Tamandua tetradactyla: one gene and its partner. The protein of the gene in region 2 interacts with the protein of the main gene of each other region in a pairwise test. Links are inferred from orthologs where the notes say so. Each region holds a gene or a part of one and is shown on either strand. Other genes may lie near its edges.

Region 1 (6,972 bases), on a different chromosome or scaffold from region 2:
AGACAGTTCTTGAAGAGGCTAAAGAGCCTAACAACCAAACACGGTCATATGAGAATTTCTATTGGAGTCTGATAAAAAAAAAATCCATGTATGAAATTTTAGGGAAATTTGTATCTGGACTACATATTAGATGGTATTGGGGAATTGTTCATAATTTTGGCCAGGTGACAGTACTGTGGTTGTAAAGGCTTTCTCATAGGAGTGCAGGACAGAGTACGTAGAAGGAAAGGGTCATGTCTTTACAGCTCTCTCTCAAATTCTACTTATATACACACATTAAAAAAGCAAATGTTGCAACATATTAACAACCATTGAATATAGGTGATGGGTATACAGGTCTGATCACTACTATTCACTATCCTTTCGATGTTTTGTACACTTGCAACTTTTCCTAGTCCAAACAATGGGAGAAATTTAAAATATCAATAAACTGTTCATCACTGAATTCTGGATAGGCTCATACCCCTCCCAAGCCCTGAGTGACCCCATTTGATGAAAGACTCTAAGGCATGCTTGGAAATGAATATAAATTAAGAGTTTATTACAAAATGCAAAATGTTAAGTTTCCCATTGTCAGTGATTCCAGAAAACAAGGCCATGAGCCCTGGGTAGAGCTGTGGCCCAGACAGAGGTATGTGGGCTGGGAGCCAAAAGCCAAGTTCAGGAACGGGCTGACAGGCACTGGTTCACAACCTCCAGTAGGTGGGTGTTCTCCAGGGCAGCTGCTACTCGCTCCTTATCGGCAAGCTGCTTGTTCACTGGATGGGAAGGAGAGAGAGTCAAAGTGAGGTTCTGGCCATGCTGCTAGTCAAGTCCCACCTCTGAGCCTTTGTATGAGCTACGCCCAACCAGTAAAGTCCTCCTGTTGCCTCTTTGCCAGGACCCTCAGCCTCGATTAGGCTATTTCAACCACCTGAACCTACAACAATCCCACTTTCTTGGAACCCTTCCCACCTGATTGCTCATTCTGCCTCCTGCATTCCTGAAGCATGGGCTCGTGTACTATTACTGGAGAGTAGAAGAGGGACGAGGTAAGCACAGTCAGGCCAGCTTCCCTGAAGAGTGTCTGGCAATTTCACCCACCCAGGCTCCCCTGGATCTTGCCCTATAAACCACTATGGCAAGAAGGAAGCCTCAGAAAGCTTAGGGTCCCAGGCCAATGCCCTCACTCACCTGCATGCTCTGAGGCATGGGTTCCTGGAGTAATGTGCACGTCCATCTGAGGGAAAGATAAGCAGGGCCTGAGCCTCCCCCCAACCTGCCCACCTCCTTGCCTGTTACCCCTTCAGTCACCACCTCCAGCTTTTCCTTCTTCCTAATCATGCTTCTGGCCTTTCTACCACACCCCCAATACACCCAGAGTGCTTCTACTTCTACCCAAAGAACTGATCAACTACTGTTGACTTAAAGACCTGCCTGAGCCTCGCCCCTGTTCCAAACCCATCTACAGTTCCCTACTGCCCTTCCTGCCATACTCCTTACTTCTTTTTTGCACTTGCCAGCTCAGGCCTTTATTATTATTATTATTATTTTACAATAATGAACCTCTGTAACTATTTATTGAATATCTACAGTGTGGTGCTTTGGGGCACAGAAGAAAATATTAAGCATGGTCACATGGAGGCAGCCTAATGTAGCAGAAACATGATAAATGGCAACCAAAAAGACATGGGATCAGAACCTGGTCCTGCTGTTGACTAATTTTACAAGCTTGAGCAGATGAATTTACTTCTCTTAACTTAGTTTCTATTTTTTTTAACTTTCTTTATTGTATAGCATAACATATATACAAAGCAAAGAAATAACAAAGCAATATTTTTTCTAAGCACTCTTCAACAAGTAGTTACAGGACAGATCCCAGAGTTTGTCATGGGCTACCATACCAGGCCTTTATTCTTGTTGTCCCCTTCACTTGGAAACCCAACTCCCAATTTCATCTCTGCCAGTTAGGATTCTTCTAGCTCCCATTCTGATGTCCTCTCTCTGTTCACGCTCTCCACGTCACCCTTGTCAATAGTATATCCTCATGCTTGCCCTGTGGGAGGCTCAATTCCAACTGACCTTGAAACGCTGGGGAAGAGAGCGCAGAAGCTTAACTTTGATGGACAGACCAATAAGGGTGGCCATGCTGCAGTGTGGAATGGTGGGTGTGAAGGCGACGGCCACAGTGCTCTCCGGGTCGCTCACCTGAGAAGGGGGTAGGGAAGTGATGTCAAAAGTCACAGCCCTCCCAGCCCAGGACCCTCTTCTTAGTTTCTTGATTGGGCCCTTTGTCCAATCTCTATAGACCTCAGTTCCTTCATCTACAAAACGGGCACAACAATCCCTGTTCCTAAAGATGCCCCGATAAATCCATGAGTTAAAAAAACACCCGAATGTCAGTCCCTGGTGTACAGCTAAACCTTTCTGAATCTCCCGGATCAAGCTGCTCCCCTAAGACGCTGGAGTAACTCACCTGAACCCGAACTTGCTCTACAACGTTCAATTCCTCCAGCGTCAGTGGATGCTCTGGGTCATTGATGGAGCGAATCAGATGTGGCAAGTGAAGGAAAAGGGATTCTGCCTTTGCCCACTCAGAGCCCTTCGTCAGAAATGCCCTGTCCTGCTACTGCTCCTCCAGTCGTACGACATCATCTCTCCCCGTCTCCCAAGCCCCCCGCGAACCCGTCCCCGCCCAGCAGCAGCGGATATCGAAGATCTCGCGCGCGTCTATGCTGTCGGGAACCTGCTCATCCTCCTCGCCCGCAGTCACAGGCCGCTCCCCAGAGCGCTCATAGATGAGGGGGTTAGCGTTCTCTAGGAGGCCGCCCCCTACGCCGCCACCGCCGCCGCCCACCATAGCCGAACCGCCGTGGGCCACTATCTGCGTGCACTTCCGCCTCGACAGGCGCACTTCCGGAGAACGGAAAAGGGGCGTGGCGAGGCGACGGGGTCGCACGAGGGACAGCCGCGCTACGGGTGTGCGGCCCGGGGTCTGGGATGGGTAGTGGACTCGGCGTTGTGGTTTCGCGAACCCCAAGAAGGTGTGGACCGCTCAAGAAGAGGCGCGGAGAAGAGAACCCAGCTACGCCGGGCCGCGCGAGCCGGTTAGGGACTGGAACGCCGAGGCCAAGGCGGGTTCTCAGGGGCCGTTAAAGGCCGGTCTGAGGTTAAGCCTGGCGCATCCGCAGGCAGCACCTGCTCCCTGAATTCTTCCCTGCCCCTGAGGGTGGGCGGGTGCTCGGATACCCAGGACTGAGGAAGGTTCAAGGTGTTTCGGGATCTTCCAGGGATGCGCTCGCTTCTCCCGCAGCCCGCGGATCAGCCGGCGCTCGATAAACGTTTGTGAAATGAATAAATGACCGTGAACTCGATCTCGCGGGAGGTGGGGGAGGAGCGCACGAAATCGTGTGCGTTTCGAAAGGAGGGCATGACTGAGTACAGAGGAGCCTCTGGAGACCCTCAGACCAGAGGCACTAAGGGGATAAAGGAACGTGAAGGGGGTGGGGGGGCGGGGAGGCCAAGGAAGCTTCATCTGGAAGCCTCTCGAGCTTCCAGATGAAGGGCATAGTCACACCCCTGCCTATGCTCAAGCCGTTTCCTTCGCCCCGAACGAAGACCGTTCTTATTTCTTTATCTGTATTCTGATCGAGCACCTCCTCAGGAAAGCCCTCCTGGGTTCCCCCAAACAGCTTGTCGCTACCTCCTCTCAACTCCCCTCCACCTCCAACGTCCTCGTCGGGCCTGTGGCTGCGAGGACAGTGAACGCAGTGACTCCAGCTCTGAGGAAAGGGTCCCTGGTATTGCGGAGGTGCTCCCAGTGTGTGGATATGCCACATTTTATTGATCCGAGAAGCCCACGGGGGACCGGCACCCGCCTGCCCCGAGCTTCCAGGTCCGACCGACCTTTCCCTGGCCCGACCCCCGCGCCCCGCCTCCGCCCGGCCCAGTCCAAATTCCCCTCTGGGGCGAGGCACCTACCCGCGGCGGAGCGCGCGGGGGCGCAGCCAGTAGGTGAAAAGCAGCGATCCCGCCGGTAGCGAAAAGGAGAACCTACGAGCGGACGATGCGGCTGGACCCGCTGAGCGAGCGGCTGAGGGCCGTGGCCTATGGGTTCCTGCTTCACCTTCTCGTCTCGGCCGGGGGTGAGGTTCCCGCGGGGGGCTGCGGAGGCCGAGTCGGATCCTCCAAACTGCAGTGGCAGAACCTGAGGCTGAGGGCGGGACTATGCCAGGGAGGTCGGAGCTGATGAAGATAAGGACAGCGCGGGAGCCGTGCGCTGGGCAGGACCCCTCCCGACCGCCCCGGGTGGGCCTCGTAAGATACAGAGAGGGTCGGGGCTGCCCGAGGCCACACAGTATGAGGGACTCGTCCAGTCCCAGGGGCTCTACGGAGCTCCGAGGCGGGCTGGGTTGGGTTAGCAGCCTGGGGCTGTAGGAACTTCTTTCTCTCCTTGTGTTTGTGGCTGGAGCGGGCGCTGTCTGCAGGTAATAACAGTAATAATTAGAATACCTTTCCTCATTTGTCTACCCTGAGTGTGCTGTGCACTTGGCCAGAGGAAGCCACTGAGTCCCCCACCGCAGGGGTCCCAGCCAAGATTACTGACCTTAATTCAGCATCTGGGAATCTGGCGCAGAGAAGCTCCTTAGCTTCTCCTAAAGCCCATGGAGGAAGCCACTGTGTCTTCCTCACCCCACTGCACCCTGCATGGGGAAAAGGCATGGCTGGGTCGCTAGGGCAAAGGAGATTGCCCTTTGTGCCTGCCTTCTGTTTTTATCAGGAGCTATTTGAAAACCACCCTAGGTCATCCAAAGTTTCCTGGTCCTTTCTCATTAAGCACGATCCTCTCACCCAAAATGCCCCCTACCTATGCAGCCCTACAGTCCTGCCCTTTCTCAGAGGAATTTGCCAGTGAATGGCCCATACTTACCCCTCCCATTTAACACACACCCCACACCCCACCCCACTCCACCCCGCCCCGTCCAGGCTCTTGGAGGTAACTGGACCTCTACGAGATCTACCTGGCCTCGCTGCCACTTCCCTTTTATTATTTTGGATTGTACCTATGTTGAAGAGAATAATTGACAAGGTATAAGAGGACTCAAGGTGGTGAGTCTGACCCTCTCCTGTCCCACCCAGTCCTGGCTTCTCCATGGGAACCATTAAGGAAGGCCCCCAGGGCCTTCCACATTCAGCCCAGGAGTTTACCCAAGAATGGATGTGTGCACACACCCTGGTTTTCTCCTAAACTGTAATCTCACACCTTTTCTGGGCCCTGGCCTTCTACACTTCCTGACACTGGGCAGAGACTTCCTGGGTGCGGTAGCGCTTCCTCATACAGTTTAATAAAAGAACTTCTCTCAGGGAAGAAGCAGTGGTTGCTATAACTGACCTCTAATCAGGCCATTTCAGCAGGTTTTGTCCTTTGCTATAACAAACACCGGGCATCATTGGGTGGTAGCTGCAGTGAATTACATGGACAAACAGCCCATTCCATTCAGCAAGGAGTTGTGCGTAGACAGCATGTTGCTGGAGAGAGGGGTGGGCCTTTTGATTTGGAACACCATGACTCATTTACCCTCCTTGGAGCCTGTGAGTGGCCATTGACCCTGGAATCATTCTATCACGTGATACATGCCAATGCTAATTCATGCTGATCTGATAGGTAACAGGTAATACCTCCTTCAGGCTGATTTTGGTTTTTACTTTTTAATATGGAAACATGCTCAGAGGTGAAGAGAATAGATTAACAAAGCCATGTACTCATCATTCACTTTCAGCAATTATGACCTGGACAACCTTGTTTTATCTGTATTGCTACATCTCCCCAGCACCATTATTTCAAGAAAATCTCAGAAGTCATATCCTCTGTACATTTTTCATATATTACTTAAAGAAAAAGAATATATATGTACATATCCACAACACCATAATTTCTTAATATAATCAACTATCTAGTCACTTATTTCCCATATTATCTCATAAATGATATTTACAGTTTTGTTGTTGTTTTAATCAGGATCCAAATTTGCAATGAATTTGCAAATTTGTTGATGTGTTTCTTATTTATAGAAACTCTTTATTTATTTATAATATTGAATCTTTCTCTGTTAGGCGGCTTTCAATCATTTCCTGCCCCTGATCCCCACAGCAGGACGGGTTGCTGCTTTTTACACTCCAGTCACAGATGCACTTCTCTTACAGCTCTCCTAACCAACGTCGCTCCTTGTTTGTAGGATGCTTTCTTTATGTTACTTCTTGCCACCTGAAGCAGGAACCATGTCTGTCCAAGTTCCACAGCTTTCCTGTTGCCTAGCATGCCCTGGCTCACAATTCCTTAAAAGGACGCTCTTCATCCATCAAACACTTGTGACCATATGTTTGAAGCTTCTGGGTCCTCACTGTGGTGGCAAGTCCCAAGGAGTCCTGCTGACCCTGACAGGAAAAGCTGGACCAGGCCCAGAGCAGTGGGGGGGGGGGGATTGGAGCTGGGGGCAGGGTTACATGTTGGATGCTTGCAAACAAAACAGGTGCTTGCAGACAAGGTGCCCTTAAACTGAGTTGTGGTTGGGAAGGAGTCCTCAGAGTCTGGGAGGACCACTGCTTGGGCAGACCCAACCCTGATGTCCATCTCTCTGTCCACAGGCCAGGAGTCTGCTGGCCCCATCCGGACCACACACACAGGGCAGGTGCGGGGAAGCCTTATCCACGTAAAGGGCACCGATGTCGGGGTCCACAGCTTCCTGGGAATTCCCTTTGCCAAGCCGCCTCTGGGGCCACTGCGATTTGCACCTCCCCAGACACCCGAACCTTGGAGTGGTGTCAGGGATGGGACCTCCCACCCAGCCATGTAAGCTCTCCCCTAGGGGACCAGGAGAGAGACCCCAGGTGGGAGGAAGTCTTAGCTCTGGGCAGAGCTGCAGTTGTCATCTCATCTAAACCCTTGCAACCAGTTTTCCACTGAGCGTGCTGAGGCTCAGAGGGAAGGGGTAG
Region 2 (7,793 bases):
CTAGAGCAACTTTCCAAAAACCTACAACCTCCAGATGGGTCCCTGGTCCAGATGAGTCCTGAAACCTAGCCCAGCCTCTCCAGAAAATCAGATAGTTTCATCTCCCTACCCCATATTAGCAACAGACCCTTCCATTATCCAAAATCTAGAATTGCCATAGCCCAAACAACCCCAATGAGAGGTATGGAAAGATCAAAGGTGATGGTGGAATCATACGTAGAAGACAGGACTTAACAAATTAATACGAATGCTGAATCATTAAATTGATATCTCTTTTAGCTGCCCGTATTTTAGAGTAGCTAGAAGTAGAAACCCAAAATTGTGGACTTGTAACCCATGTCAGAATCTGAAATATTTTCTACAACTAATTGTGGGACTGTGCTTTGAAATTTATAGCTTTTTTGTATATATGCTGTCTTTCACAAAAAAATAAGGAAAAAAAGTCGACTGTGATGATAAAAAAATACTCAAGCCTTTTAGGCTCCTATATTTTGGAGCAGCTAGAAAGAAACATCTGAGAGGATGGTAGCCCATGACAAACTCTGGGATCTGTCCTGTAACCACTCATGGAAGAGTGCTTTGAAAACTATTGCTTTTTTATTTCTTTGCTTTGTATATATGTTATACTATACAATAAAAAAAGTAAAAAAAAAAGGCAATGTGAGGATATATAACACATGGGCAGTAAACACCCGGGGAGTGGGACCAGAGGAAAACATAAGACCTGTGAGAACGGCTCAGAAGACCTGGGGCGGGTGGCCACTCAATCAAGATGGCAGAGTGGGACTCGGGGGTTCCATCCCCTCCAGAACTGCCACAAGAACTGCCAGAAACATTTTCCTCAAAGCTCCAGGAAACAGTGAAAGGACGGCAGCAACTGGGGGAGCACTGAGTCAAGAGGAAGGCCACCTCCAGGTGCCCTGCTGGCCCTTCCCCCGCCCCCTGCCAGCTGCCTGCGGGTCCCTGTGCCGGCCTGGCCTTGGAGGGGCACAGGAGCCTGCACGCGACGGGGGGCAGGATGTCTTGCTGTCCTAGGACCCGCCCTGTGAGGAGAAGGTGGCTCTCCCGGCTGTGGGACAGCAGGCAAGCAGTGCTGGCCGTAGCACAGAACACCAGCGCCAGGACCGGGAACCCATTTCCTAGGGAAGAGGAGACAGCAGGAGCCATGGAAGCGGGGTAACTCCCAGGACCACACGCGCACGCCCAAGACAAGCTGCAGCCACAGAGAGGCCGGGAAGGCCTGCGCTGGGCCTGCAGCTGCTCTCTCAACTCACTGCCCTGGAGTGAGAGCCCTGGAGGAGAGCACGCCACCCGCCAACCCGCACAGACTGGGAAGTTCGTTCCTTTACTCCTTTTTAATTTTTTTTTGTTAGCTCCTGACATTTGAGAAAAGTTCTGTTATAACACTAGCTAGATAGAAGTTTAAGGATCAGATGCCTCAGAGTCTAAATTCCAGCTATTATACATTAAAATATCAGTATGTCCACATTTCAACTAAAGTTTACAAAACATATAAAGAAACAGGAAGTGATGGCCCAACAAATGATAGGATTAAAGCATTAGAAACCATCAACGAGAAGGAACAGACCTAGAACATTCCAAAGACTTTTAAAAAATGATCTTAAATGTGCTCAAAGAACGAAAGGAAATCGGGAAAACATCAGATGATACCAGTAGAAAAATGGGAATTATGAAAAGAAATCAAGCAGGGCTGAAGACTACAGAAATGGAAATTTAGAACTCCCTATAGGGGTTCAAAAGCAGATTGGAGCTGGCAGAGAATCTGAAGATAAGAAGACTGAAATCATGCGGTCTGAGGAATAGAAAGAAGAAAAAATGAAGAAAAGTGAACAGCACCTCGGACGCCTACCGGACACCATCAAGCGAAACAATGTCACTTAGTAGGAGTCCCAGGAGGAAAAGAACAGAAAAGGACAGAGAACATACTCAAAGAAGTAAAGGCTGAAAATTTCTCAAATTTAACTAAAAACAAAAGTATACAAATCCAGGACGCTCAACAAACCCCAAATGGGATAAACCCAAATAGACCCACATCTTGCCCCATTATACTCAAACTGTCAAATGCCAAAGATAAAAGGAGAGAATTCTGGAAGCCAAAGAGAGCAGCAACGTGAGGACCTCGATAAGGATAAGCGCCAACTTCTCACAGGAAACCATGAAGGCAAGATGGCAGTGGGGTGACACATTTAAAGCGCCAAAATCAGAAACTATCAGCCAAGAATTTTATATCTGGCAAAAATATCTTTCAAAAATGAAGGAGTGATTAAGACATTCCCAGATAAAAGCTGCGGGAGTTCATCACCACTAGACCTACCCTACAAGAGATGCTAAAGGGAGTTCTGTAGGTATAAAGGAAAGGAAAATACATAATAGGTCAAAGCCACATGAGGAAACAAAGGTTTCCTGTGAGAGTAACAACATGGGTAAACATAAATGCCAGGACTCTTACATTTTTGGTTTGTAACTCTACTTTTTACTTACTACAGGATCTAAAAGGCAAATGCATAAAATGTCATAATAAACCAGTTTGAGACTCACAATGCATGAACATATCAACTGTTAACTATGTGAAGGCAGGGGACAGAAGGGTCCAGGGGCATAGACCGTGTGTATATTAATGAAGTTAAGTTGGTATCAAAGCAAATGGCTGTTACAGATTTAGGATGTTAAATTTAAACCCCATGGTAACTGCAAATAAAATATTACAGAACATGCACGCTCACAGAGACAGAACTTAGAGAACAGGTTGCCAGAGGCAGGGCAAAGGAGGAATGGGGAGCTAAGGTTTCTGTTTGAGGAGATGGGGAAGCTTAAGGATGGAAGTTGTGAGAGTACCGCCACATTGTAACTATCGGTAACCTTATGGAATGGCATCTTGGGAATGGGTGACATGGGGAAGTACATGCTGTTTTTATGAAGGAAAAAAAAGCAAGGCAACTAAAAAGACCACGACAATTAAAGGCAATACATGATCCTGATGATATGGAACAAGGAAGAAGATGATAAGGCTCAAGAAGACATTATGGGAGCATATGAAAAAAATAGGAATACAGACTGCAAACTTCACACAAATGCTAAATTTCTTGAGTCTGACAGCTGCACTTAAGGTGGAAGTCCTCATTCGTGAAAAACGTACAGGGTGGAACTAAAGGTTCAAGGAGCATGATACGTACAACACACACCCAAGTGTTCAGAAGACAGATGGATAGACAAATGGACAGACAGATGGACAGGCAGATAGAATGAGACAGCAATGTTAAAGCTGGAGGATGTGTGCAGCTGCAGCGGGGTCAAGAAGAGGTTTGCTAGAGTTCTCTTTATCATGTTTCTATTATTTTTCTAAGTGTCCTATAAGTCTAAAAGACACATTTCTAAATAAAAAGTTAAAAAAAGAGTGGGAGGGGAAAAAAAGACCTTGGAGGTGATGAAAACATGCTGTCACTAAGGGCTTTTCTGGGTGGTCAGGTGGCCGCCTGCCCTATGCTCCGTCCTCACTCTCAGGCTGGGCTCCAGCCAGCCTCCCGCAGGCCTGACCTCCCCATGTCCGGCAAAGAGAACCCCCTTTTCCTTCCACTTGCCCCCCCCCCCCCCCGGCACTAAACAAAGCAATCTCCCCCGACACACGGGCCACGGCTCTCTCAGCCGCACGCCCATTGCTCTACTGAGGACGGCACCGGGCGACTGCCGGTTCCCACAAAACACCACAGGCTCCCCTTTTCTCTAAGAACCCAATTTTCCCGAGAACTCTAAGATCTTCCCATTCAAAGCTCCTTTCTCTTCATCAGCCCGGCTGGCTCAAAGCGGCCTCCCCGACCCCGCAGCGTCCTTGGACGGGGGTCCTGGCGCCTTAGCTTTGTGCACAGCGGGGCCCTTCCTCCGCAGCTCCCCAGCTCCGGCCCGAGGCGCGGGGCAGGGGGCGGCGCCCTCACCTTTCAGCAGGTCCGGGTGCACGTAGCCCAGCACGTCGGAGACCCCCAGCTCCTGGCGCGAACAGGTGCCGCCGTGGATGTGCAGCCAGGCGGGCTCGGCCAGCGCCGTGCACAGCGCCGTGATGGACAGCGCGCCCGGCAGGGCCGACGCCAGGCTCCGCTCCGGCTGCTTGGGCAGCGCGCTGCCTCCCGGGCTCCGCCGCCGGCGCCCGCCGGGCAGCCCCGCGCCTCCGGGGGCGTACATGCCCGGGGCCGCGGCCTCTGAGGGGCGCAGGGCCTGCCTGGGCGGGGAGCCCGCGCGGGGCGGCAGGGGCGGGGCCGGGGACCCCGGAATGGGGCTGCGGGGCTGGGGGGAAGAGGCCGGCGCAGACCGCAGTGGGTGCAGGGGCACGGGGCGCCGGAGGCCGGCCGCTGCGGAGGACCCGGAGTCTGCGCCGAGGTGCCGAGCCGGGAGGCCCGGGATGGGCCGCGGGGGCCGGGCACCGGGCGTCGGGGACGGCGCCCTGGGGTGCGACCCTCTCCACTCCGCGCCGCGCTCCTCGCCGCTCCGCAGGCCTCGGGGCCAGAATGGCGCCGCCGCTCCGTCACGGCCCCTCCGCTGCTCTGGCTGAGCTTAGCCCAGGCCCGACCCCGCAACGCCCGGCCCGACCCGGCCGGATCCACTTCCGGCTTCCGCCCCCTCCGCCCCGCCCCCGGCGCCCCGCCCCGGCCCCCGCGCGCGTCACAGCGCGGGCGCGCCGTCGGCCCCTGCGCACAGCCTCACGGGACGGGTAGTTCCGAGCCGGCCCGCGGCGCTCCCCGCAGCGGGAGCTGGAGACTACAATTCCCAGAGGGCAGCGCGGCCGGGGTCCCGGGCCGTTCAGTTCCCAGGATCCCCCGCCCAAGGCGGAAGCGGGCAGGTCCGACGGCCGCTGGTGTGGGGGCCTGTGGTTGTTTCGGGTCTGTGGCTGCCCACCTGCTCCTCCCCTGCGCCGGCTGCCATGAAGAACTCGCTGGTGCTGCTGAGCCGTGTCCCGGCCCACCCAGACTCCCGCTGCTGGTTCCTGGCTTGGAACCCCGCAGGGACCCTGCTGGCTTCGTGCGGGGGCGACCGTCGAGTCCGCATCTGGGGCATTGAGGGTAAAGCTCCCAACTGCGCGACCCCCGGCGCAGGGGTCTCCGCGTGCGCGTAGAGTAGATGTCGGGTGTGTGGGGGCCGCAGCCTGCCGCAGGGGTAGACCCTGGACCGGGGCACAGGGACGAAGAGGCGGAGGGACCTTCATGTGTCGCGTTCGCCACCGGGAGAAGGACTTTTTGGGAAAAGGAGCCGGCAAACAAGAAAGCAAAAAACAGCTGGAGGAGGGAAACAAGGAGAGAGAAGTAGTAGGAAAGCTGTCGGCAGGATAATTTGGGGCCCGATGGTAAAGTTTAAATTTTATCCCGAGGGCGTTTAGGAGCCTTTGACAATTTCATATTCGGAGGGTGACTCAGATTTTAGAAAGATGCCTCCAGGGGAAATAGAGGCACTTAACATCTTTCTAAAGTGTACTGTCACATACATAGATGGAGGTTGGACACTGGTAGGGCCTGAGCCCTTATCACCATACGGAGAGGGTAGAGCCTGCCACCTTCCTGTGCGCCCAGCTCCAGGGCCTGCCTTGTTCTCTGTCCATAGGGGGCACCTGGGTCTGTAAGTCTGTTCTTTCCGAGGGCCACCAGCGCACGGTCCGGAAGGTGGCCTGGTCTCCGTGTGGGAATTACCTGGCCTCTGCCAGCTTTGACGCCACCACTTGTATTTGGAAGAAAAACCAAGATGACTTTGAGGTAAACAGGCTGAATGGAACCAGAATTATTGCTTGTTTGCTCTACAGGTTCTGGGACCTGGGCCACCTGATTCTCATGCCTTTTTCCTTTCCGCAGTGTGTAACCACTCTGGAGGGTCACGAAAATGAGGTCAAATCAGTGGCCTGGGCCCCATCAGGCAACCTCCTGGCCACCTGCAGCCGAGATAAGAGTGTTTGGGTCTGGGAAGGTGAGTCTGGTCCCTCTTAGGGCAGTTGGGAACCAGCCAGCAGACGTTCCCCTCTGTGTCCCTGATGGGGTCAGCTCTTGAGGTGTTTTTTTTTTCCTTCCTGCAGTTGATGAGGAGGACGAGTACGAGTGTGTCAGTGTCCTCAATTCCCATACTCAGGACGTCAAGCACGTGGCTTGGCACCCACACCAGGAGGTAGGAATCAGGCAGGGTGCCTGGTGGGAATTCTGGTATGGAAAGTTGTCAGCATTCTGTTTTTAAACCCTGAACTGTAACTCATAATTGTTAGTCTTTTTATAAAGTCAGGTCCCTGGGGCTGTCCTGCCTTGGCAGGGAGAAGTATTGGAACTGCAGCCACTTCCCGGGTCGTACAGACAAGCATTGTACTTCCTGGGTCATCAGATAAGGGCTGTCTTCTCTTCTCCACCCCCAGCTTCTGGCCTCTGCCAGCTATGATGACACAGTGAAGCTCTACCGGGAGGAGGAAGATGACTGGGTGTGCTGTGCCACCCTCGAGGGCCACGAATCCACCGTGTGGAGCTTGGCCTTTGACCCTAGTGGCCAGCGCCTGGCATCTTGCAGTGATGACCGCACTGTGCGCATCTGGCGCCAGTACCCGCCAGGCAGCGAGCAAGGTGAGGGTCCAGTAGGAGAACGAGAGGAGACTCGTCTCCAGGGAGGTCTGATCTGTGGATGGGTTAAGATACAAGCGTGACATAGCATGGACTGGGGTAGGAAGTGACAGGTGCCACGGGGAATCCTCCAGATGAGCTGTTGGGAGAACCAGAGAGAGCTTTGTGGAGGAGGGACCATTGCACCCAAACTTGAAAGCATGCATACATAGGATTTTCATTAAAATTTTTTTTTTTTTTGGCTTGAGCTGACTCCGGGAACCGAACCCCAGTCTCCAGCGAGGCAGTCAAGAATTCTGCCACTGAGCCACCGTTGCACTGCCCCGTGTGCAAGGATTTTAACATGAGGAGAAGCAGTGAAGGGAATTCTAGGGCAAGCGGGACATCATGAGCAGGGGCACTGTTGGTGGGAAATCCTAGACTAAGACTGCGACGGAGATTCGCTTGCATGGAGTACAGGGGATGAGGGGCTTGGGGAGGAGTGAGGGGGTGGGGGCTGCAGGCTAACGCATCAAGATTAGTCCGCAGCTGGAAGTTTCTTTTTGACATTCTGCATTAGAAAGAGCAGCCTGGCCACAGTGCGTGAGGCAGACCTGTGAGCGTGGGACAGGAGTGGAGGCAGGGACTTGCATCTCTTCTGTTGCGGTGAGGGTGGGAGAGTAAGCGTCCCCTCTGCAGTGGGGCAGTCACCACCGACCCCCCCCCCCCAAAGGCGCCTGGGGCACAGGTGCACCTGAGGCTGAAGGGAGGTCTGTTGTGCAGGGGCGGCATGCGGCGGCTCCGACCCCAGCTGGAAATGTGTGTGCACTTTGTCCGGCTACCATTCCAGGACCATTTATGATGTCGCTTGGTAAGGCCTACATCTTCCCCTCCTGGGTGGGGTCTTTTGGGGAGTGAGGACTGTGGCAGCCCCCTGTTATCTTCAGATCAGGCCCGACTCCGCCATACTGGCTCCTCACTGGCTGGCCTGGGGTTCGCAGGAGCAGGAAACCGACTTGAGGGCCAGGTGCACACTGTGCTGGGATCCCAGGCTGCAGGTCAGCACCAACCCTTGGGGCTCACACAGTGTCCCCCCAGCCAGAAACAATAGTGAGTCTGTGGCTTCGGGGCTGGTTCCACATGTTTGTCAGCATCGACTGTGCCCTGAGCATGGCTAGAATGCTGTATTGTTAGGCAGGAGAGTGGTCGAGGGCAGTGCTG

What was found. The genes of interacting proteins can lie anywhere in the genome.
Region 1: the proteins of CIAO1 (region 2) and CIAO2B interact in binary tests that used the Homo sapiens proteins (3 or more experiments, as listed by UniProt). The two-hybrid records come from large-scale screens. The link is inferred for Tamandua tetradactyla from reciprocal best matches to the Homo sapiens genes CIAO1 and CIAO2B.

The regions. Positions count from the first base shown.
Region 1 is NC_135342.1:60,623,837-60,630,808, forward strand, and holds CIAO2B (cytosolic iron-sulfur assembly component 2B), read right to left. Parts: upstream 2,919-6,972; 5' UTR 2,840-2,918; coding exon 2,690-2,839; intron 2,534-2,689; coding exon 2,456-2,533; intron 2,188-2,455; coding exon 2,062-2,187; intron 1,220-2,061; coding exon 1,174-1,219; intron 1,009-1,173; coding exon of another isoform or gene 920-1,008; exon of another isoform or gene 809-919; intron 759-808; coding exon 661-758; 3' UTR 521-660; downstream 1-520.
Region 2 is NC_135343.1:2,410,754-2,418,546, forward strand, and holds the start of CIAO1 (putative cytosolic iron-sulfur protein assembly protein CIAO1), read left to right. Parts: upstream 1-4,780; 5' UTR 4,781-4,930; coding exon 4,931-5,069; intron 5,070-5,604; coding exon 5,605-5,753; intron 5,754-5,849; coding exon 5,850-5,961; intron 5,962-6,067; coding exon 6,068-6,156; intron 6,157-6,394; coding exon 6,395-6,596; intron 6,597-7,355; coding exon 7,356-7,443; intron 7,444-7,793. Other genes in the region: TMEM127 (transmembrane protein 127), read right to left, coding at 3,951-4,194. UniProt on the Homo sapiens protein: Key component of the cytosolic iron-sulfur protein assembly (CIA) complex, a multiprotein complex that mediates the incorporation of iron-sulfur cluster into extramitochondrial Fe/S proteins.